Oryzias latipes: one gene and its partner. The protein of the gene in region 1 interacts with the protein of each later gene in a biochemical or structural test. Links are inferred from orthologs where the notes say so. Each region holds a gene or a part of one and is shown in the gene's direction. Other genes may lie near its edges.

The links.
Region 2: of the proteins of ptpn1 (region 1) and stat3, one has a biochemical effect on the other in vitro, tested with the Homo sapiens proteins (2 studies listed by BioGRID and IntAct). The link is inferred for Oryzias latipes from reciprocal best matches to the Homo sapiens genes PTPN1 and STAT3.

What each region holds. Positions count from the first base shown.
Region 1 is NC_019865.2:21,849,150-21,852,970, forward strand, and holds part of ptpn1 (tyrosine-protein phosphatase non-receptor type 1), read left to right. Parts: intron 1-1,623; coding exon 1,624-1,833; intron 1,834-1,957; coding exon 1,958-2,119; intron 2,120-2,207; coding exon 2,208-2,368; intron 2,369-3,821. UniProt on the Homo sapiens protein: Tyrosine-protein phosphatase which acts as a regulator of endoplasmic reticulum unfolded protein response. Mediates dephosphorylation of EIF2AK3/PERK; inactivating the protein kinase activity of EIF2AK3/PERK.
Region 2 is NC_019866.2:6,345,205-6,349,533, reverse strand, and holds the start of stat3 (signal transducer and activator of transcription 3), read left to right. Parts: upstream 1-1,459; 5' UTR 1,460-1,658; intron 1,659-3,792; 5' UTR 3,793-3,814; coding exon 3,815-3,942; intron 3,943-4,257; coding exon 4,258-4,329. UniProt on the Homo sapiens protein: Signal transducer and transcription activator that mediates cellular responses to interleukins, KITLG/SCF, LEP and other growth factors. Once activated, recruits coactivators, such as NCOA1 or MED1, to the promoter region of the target gene.

The sequences.
Region 1 (3,821 bases):
AAGAAGCAAATTTATATAATCCCACCCCTGCTGAGTTAATTCATTTGATAGTTTTACATAGTTTTGGTAATTTGGTTCTGATTCGATACATTCTTTTTGAGTAAAAAGATCCTGTGCCTATTAATGATTTATCTTCAGAAAACATTTACCGGTATTCATGACTTTAGTAAACAGTTAACGGTAACATTATGTAATAATCATTGATTATTAGAACACAATATCACATTAAACCAGTAATTATTGCTACACATTCAGATCAAGTAAAGAAAATCAATAGCTTATTGATTGTAATTTAAACATTTCAGTGATCATTATTGCACATTACAATGTAATAATCATTGATTGTAATTAAAAGAGCTTTGATTATTTCACCACAATCAAGTTCAAACATTTATTTGGAATTATTCAAACACCTGTTGATCCTTAACTCTTCTTATCTTTATATCGTGAAATCAGAGTTTCTTTATACCTTTTCTTGAATATTTGAATATTTTTTTAGCTCATTACTAAACCCGTTCCAAAATTTAGTGCCACACACCGACACAGAGAAACATTTCTTTGTGATTCTTATCAATTTGATCTTGAAGTTCCTACATCCCCTCAGTCTGTAGCCTCCTTCATTTTCTAAAAACTGTTTTTGGATATTGAATGGTAACGATTTACCACTGACTCGTATAAAGGTTGCGCACTGTAAAAATCCACAAGGTCATACAGTTTTCAAAGTCTGGATTCATAAAATAAATTGTATGATCAAGATAGCCAGCTTTATGACGGCTCGTTTTTGAAGTAAAAGATGTAGTGAGCTCTTGTAATCATTCCCCAGATTTCTATACAGTAGGTGAAATATGGCAATATTAAACAGTACAATACATATCTTCAGTTTTATTGTAAAATGTATTTGGATTTACTTATAACTGAAATACTTTGTGAGACTTTAGTTTGTATGTGTCTGATGTGCAGCTTCCAACTTAGTTTGTCATCGATAACAAGCCCTAAGAACTTGTAACATCTGTAACACTTTCAATTAGGGCATTATTTATTTATTTCAACTGAGAGCTCGGTACTGGCGTTGTAGTTACCAAAAACATCACTTTGGTTTTATCTAGGTTCCAAGATAATTTGTTGTAATCCATCCATGATTTTATTTTGGTTAACTCTGTGTTTACCACATGTTCCCTATGATTGTCTGTAGAATAGAATATGTTTGTGTCATCAGCCAATAATGAGTTTCATAAGCTTTGAAACATTGAATATATCCTTTATGTATATATTGAATTGCAGCGGGCCCAGAATTGATCTTTGTGGGACACCTCAACTTATCTCAAAATGACACATGTTTTTTTGATATTGGGTCAAATGGCATATTGATAATTAAAAGACCACTGGGAACGTTTTTAAAATAGGTCAAACGATGATCTGAGTGAGACAAAATACAAAATATCTTCACTGTATTTTTTTATGCAACTGTGACCATAAAACGGAGAAATGTAATGTTTTTTTTGTGACTTTCATCTAAACTTAAATTTTAGCTTTGATGCTTTTGATTGTTGCATTTGTCTATAGTTACACAATCCCTGCTTTTGTTCGGCTGCCTAACACATCCCGCTGCTCCTCCTCCCGCAGACTCAGGAGACGCGGGAGATTCTACATTTTCACTACACCACCTGGCCAGACTTTGGGGTACCAGAATCTCCCGCCTCTTTCTTAAACTTCCTGTTCAAGGTGAGGGAGTCCGGCTGTCTGAATTCCGACCAGGGACCAGTGGTGGTGCACTGCAGCGCTGGCATTGGGCGCTCTGGGACCTTCTGTCTCGTGGACACCTGCCTCTTGTTGGTTTGTACCCAAACTTCATTTGTGATTGACATTGTTCAGGACGTTTTGAGAATTAAGAAGCTGAAGCGTGACTATAAAGATGTGGAACATGGAGGCTGACGTCCTGCATGCCTTTGCTGTTCAGATGTCTCTTCGTAAGGACCCATCCTCTGTGCGTATTCGCGACGTGCTGCTCGAGATGCGTCGCTATCGAATGGGCTTGATACAAACTGCAGATCAGCTTCGCTTTTCTTACCTGGCTGTAATAGAAGGTGCCAAGTACATCAAAGGGGATGTATCTCTGCAGGTAACTTCTTGTCGTCCTCTCCCCTGCTCAGATGTTTGCAGGCTGTTGTCAGATGCACGTCGATAACTTCAAGCATCTTGCTTTTAAGGAGTCGTGGAAAGAGCTCTCAAATGAGGAAGACGACCCTCCAGAGTTCACACCTCCCCCTCCTCTTCCTCCTCCGAGGGACCCTTACAACGGGAAAACCGGGAGGTCCTTTTTCCCTGAACATGTAGAGATCATCCCTGAGATGAGGATTCCCACTCTTGGGTAATATTTTCAACCATGTTCTGATTCTGTGAACAAAGGTTGACTTCCATGGCTGCTTTTTATTGAACAGAAATGCATTTCAATAGTGAGGTTTACTTTGAATGAGGGCTTGATACTCAAAAAGGAAGAAAACAAAACATCCTTACATCCGTCATCACAGACCTGAGCTTGTCCCCCCCCCTCAATTTAACCCTTAATGTCCATTGATAAAGTGATGGAGAAGCTGCAGACAAGATGGTGCCTGACATCATCATCCGGAAGCAGAAATTATACAACTAACCCTAACCCAAAAGTGTTTAGAGTTGGAAAAAGTAAACTTTTATTAAAGCTTAAAACAGGAAAAATGGTAACTCTTGGCGCCGCCAGTAAAATAGTTTTCTTCGAGCGATATGGGGAGACTTCTGGTTGAGGAGTTCCGGTTTTGGCAGTTGATGTCTGCAGCTAGGTCCTCTTGCACTGATGATGTTGAGAGCTTACCTTTATTTTGGAGCTGCCACTGGATGACGGCCGCTTCCAGCTGGATTTGTTTTTGATGACTTGCTGTCCCACAACAGTCCGAAGAAGGCAAAAATCTAAAATAAGAATGAAATTTGAGGATGTTTTTACTACAGTCTCGATACAAATAAAAAAAAAACATAAAGTTCAGGAGCAGCTCAACAATCAACTCCTTCCAATTTATTTGTTTGGAGGATAAGCCCCTTGAGATGTGTCATCTCGTTTTCAAGGGGGTCCTCAACATACAACAAAACAAGCAAATGCCGACAGATACAGTTGAGCAAACTTTACATATGTCAAAACAGAGAAAAACTTAAAATTTCCAAAACAACGAGCAGACACACACACATACCCACACACACACAAACATTGACATTTAATGCTCCTACTAGCAGTTAGTTTAAGGTAAGGAAACAAAAATAATAAATAAAAAGCAGAAAAGAAATCACTCCTCCATGTTGGTTTTGGACTCCAGCCGCTGTTCACATCATGAAGTCGTCACTGCCAAAGCTTCAAAATGCACCGCAGGACTTCCTATCACATCAGCACAATAACTTATCCCTGAAAGGCCCCTGCCACACAAATCTCGTTTTAGAGCTGATCGCCCTTGTCAAACCTGAAAGTCCTCATTAGGTTGTTGTAGAAGCTGTGGAACTGTAGGGCAGCTCTGGCAGAAGAAGCAGTGATGCAGAACCTCCCATCAGTGCAGCGTGACTGAAAGGAGCTGGAGCCTGTGAGGGATCTTTGCTAGAATGACGGCATGCCGATCCTTCAGCCGTCAGCTGCAAACTGCTTGCTGCACGTCATTTCGCATGTTGTAGCTTGCAGTTTGCTCAAGCAGGAGTTAATTTTGTTTTTTCAAACTGTCAATATCAAATATGCATTGATGTGCGACTTCTATTACTTCAACAGTGACGCATTTTGTAAAAAAAACAAACAAACATGAAGATCTTTTCAG
Region 2 (4,329 bases), on another chromosome or scaffold:
ACCAAGTTGTGCCTGTTGCTTGGTGTTTACTCACCTCACTTTGCTCACTTTTCTAAGAAAGACAGGAAAAACAGAAATGAGTCACCATGTTCAACATTCGTTTTTTCAGTGCATGTGCGTCTCATTGACAGAACTCTCCCAGTGTTGTGCCTGAGAAGTAGGAAACATCTCAACTGACAATGTCGACATGTGTAAACATCTTGAATTAAAAATAAGCAAAGTGTCATTGATATAGGATTTGGTCCTGCACAACCAAAACTTTCATGGTTTATTTTTCATGGAAACCAGGTGAATTTGTGTGTCTGTTTCTGAATAAAGTGTGTGCACTGCAATTTGAAAAAAAAAAGACTCTGTTCATTAATCTTGAAGAAAAAAAGTCATTTTCTCTTGAAGAAAGGAGCCAAACAAAATGAGAAAAAGCTACTGTAATTGAAATTCTGCAGCTGATAGAATAGATTCAGCCGGTGACACCTCATTTCATTAAAAGCTAAGGACACACGGCTCCAGACAGGAGCAAAGGGTGGTTCCTCTTTGTCTCCCTACAGAGTTGTGATGACCTTGATGTGATGGAGACACATAGACACTCACTCTCTGGCAGAAAACAGCATTAAAATAATCAATGGGTGGGAAAATGCAATTAGGGAGAGTGCACTCTCAGAGCAGGATGGAGAGCAGACTAAAAGAGAAATAAAAAGCATGCACAGGGGTGGAATGATGTTGGTAGAAAATAAGAATGTGTTTATTAATAAGCACATTATTTACAATGGTGGAGGCAGGAAATATGTGTTTTAAGCCTGTAAAATAATACTTTTTTTGTACATTATAGAGTTATTACTTCTAAGAATCATGTGTTTCACTACAGTACATTTGGACTTGTTTAAATTTACAGTCATAACTAACACACTAGGAATAAGGTGAATACATTGCAACAGCAATGTAAGACCTGTTTTGGTTATGTTATTTGCATTTTTAATTAAAAATAAAGAAAACTGTACAACTTTATCGTTTGTTTACATTTTAATATTCAAGCCAGCAGTCAGAGTAGTCAATTAGTCATCATTTCTTTTTTTACTCTTCTACCGTGAAAAAGGTCTGGCTATTGTGAAGCAGTATCATTATCAAATTTGATGACGTCAACGTTGCCGGTAACTCAGATGACTTCCAGGCTGGCTGTTCTCTTGAAATACCAACCCTCCCTCTGAAATAAGCGAAACACACGGGCTTCCGTATAGTTCCGCGGGAGGGAGGGTTTGCTTTGAGGAACAGCTTCGTTGCGACAGCGGTAAACAGAGAAGGCTCAACCAAACTTGCTGCTACATCCCGCCTTATCTCCATATAAAGTCGTTTATAGTTGGTATAAAAAAAATTAGCGACTCTCATTGGCGGAATGAAATGTCAACCAAGTAGATTTGGAAGTTTGTTTGGCTGGAAAGACTGCAGTTTAGTTGATGGGCTGGGCGGGGGGGTACTTGTTTCTGAAAGTGGTTTCTCGTGGTGCGAAGATTACGGTTTGCGTTACACTATATTTGGGAGCACTTTTCCTCGTTTATGACGCTCAATTTCTACTTTTTCTTCGTTAAAAAGTTGTCGCTGACGTCTTTGTGAGCTTGTGTTTTTTGTGGGAAAGAGACCAAACTGCTCCGGATCCAACGAAGGTGGTAAGTCGTGACTCAGCTGTTAACATATTATTACACTAAAAAAAAAAAAAAAAAAACAAAGAAAAATTCAAAATATTGCCATTGTATTAGTTAGTTTTCTCCAAGGATGTCGTGCTAAAGCGAAGCTAGAGCTACAGCCATAACTTAGCTACAGTCAAATGTAATATAATTCTGTGAATGCATCATGCCTAAAGTTAGTGACAGACAGACAGACATCGTGTGCCAGGGGTCTTTCTTACGTAAGTCTTTAAACTAAAGCCATCACACATTTCAATGTTAGTTGCTGAGTGACGTTAGTTAGTAATAATATCACGACCAGGACTCAAAAGTGATGACGTTTTTGTGTTTCTTTTTCGACTATCCGGTGGTTGGTGCCTTAAATTTAAATAATTTACTTGTATGGAGGTCGTTGTTTATTGTTTTTTTCCTTAGTTGTCCCGCCCATCATATTTATGAAGAAAAGTACTGTTGTTCATTCGTAGCACAAATAAGATCTGCAGGTATATTTAAGCCCCCAATAGTTCTGAAAACGTACATAGAATTACATATACATGTATAGTATAAAGCATAAATATGGCTGCATGACAATTTTCTACATAAATATCATAAAATAGCATGCATTGTTGTCCCTGAGCCATCTCGCAGTCCCAGGCTTTGTAAAAGGGAAACTTGGCATGGTGACTGTGCTCTGATGTTTAATAAGGAAGTACTTTCCTGGAATATCACTGACCTTATGTAAGGATTGTGCATTACCAGTAAGTAACCACACAGAAAAGAAAAAAAAACACTACAGCAGTTCTCTTTCTGACTTTCTTATTAATCATTCTGATGATTTCTCAAATAGCAGTGACCTGCATGGAGCTTTGAGAAAGGAAAGAAAACGATTAATCAGTGACTGTAGTGAATTTGTGCGATTTTACATACCTAGATTTCTCAACATGATGCAGCAATGTCTACTTCATATTTCATTAAAATACAAAGATCAAACAGAAAGTTTCAGTGTTGTTGTTGTTGTTGTTGTTTTACTTTTTAGTACAAGGCTTTTCTGAAAATTTGTGATAAAAGTACTCCTGTATTTTTTCATGTAAGGAGGTTCGTTACAAGATTTTGCTTGTATTGCGATTATATATTATTATATATAATTTGCTGCAAAATAACATTAAAATAGTGATAGTACCCTAAAATGAGTTTCCTGTGTTGTGTCAGATAAGCTCTGAATACTCCAGTTTCAGTTTTGCTGTTAGAATAAATAGCATAAAACATTTTTTGTTTGTCCAAATGATATTTATTGCAATGAAAGTTCATACCCTGTATATTATTACAGCTTTGATCTGTATTCTCTGGGCAGGAAGAGCATTATTTTGGCTATTGAGAAGGTCATATGTATGAGTTTATTTTTTGTTTTGCTTTTTTCAAATACAGTGCAAGCATCTAGTTCACATTAGCAGAATCAACAATACAGACACTGTTGTGAGAAAGCTTGTGTAACAATAGTCAAAGCATTGTGTGAGCTTTCGGACAGAAACTGGAGCCTGTAACCTAATATGGGTGGTACAGGACATGTCTTTCTGTTAAATGCCTTGAATGGGAGCTCAATTTGCAAACAAGGAAGCAGTAGCCATCTTTTATCAGCTGAGTCAGCCAGCAGGATGTGATCGATAAATTCAAAAACAACAAAAAGTCCCAGATCGGCAGGTGGTTAATGCTTAAAACACACGCTCGGATTTGAAGGGAAATCCTAATCTGACAGTCGCCTATCGCTTCAGAGGAAATGGTTTGTCTGGGTTTTGATCCATGCCCTCTGCATCTGAGAGGAAGAAGTTTGCTTTGTCGGTGTTTCATGCAAAAGTTGCCGGGGCAATTCTTTGACCAGAGATAAGCTTTTCAATGCTTTACAGCTGTTCACTCTGACCTATATTTTTTAGGGGAAGGCACAGTTTCAGAGAACAGGAAATGACTTTTGGCAACGCGAGGCCTCAGCATTGGCCTGTTGTCGTTTTCAGAGAAATCTGATGTTCAACCATTTCCCATTGGTGCAGTCTGATGAAGAACATTGAGCGCGGTTTTCTAAAGTATCATTTTCTGTTGATTTTCTGCCTGTTTTGTGTTGATAAAGCAGTTTCATCTCTGGCAGATTTGAGGCAGTGCTTGTCAGGATGGCTCAGTGGAACCAGTTACAGCAGCTGGAGACCAGGTATCTGGAGCAGCTCTACCACTTGTACAGCGACAGCTTTCCAATGGAGCTACGCCAGTTTCTTGCACCCTGGATTGAAAGTCAAGACTGGTAAGAAATGATTCAAGTCTTTGTTTAAAAAGTCTGCTTTTATCTGCTAGATAAAGCTGACCTTGATCTTTCAGGGCTTTTAGGTTTGCAGCTATGAAGTCATAGCTCATATAAACACTTTCTCTCACATTTTATGTTACTGCAATGCACTTTACCATGTTCAATTTGAACTTTTTGTGTTGTGATCACACACAAAAATTATAGTCTTTAAATATTTTCACAAAGTTGGGATTTCTTTTCAATAAACCTGGGAATTTTGTGTTGTTGGAATCTGGAAATCGATATGTTTTTGTGTTCCCCCCACTATTTTCTAAGGGCCTATGCTGCCAACAAAGAATCCCACGCCACCCTGGTGTTCCACAATCTCCTGGGAGAAATTGATCAGCA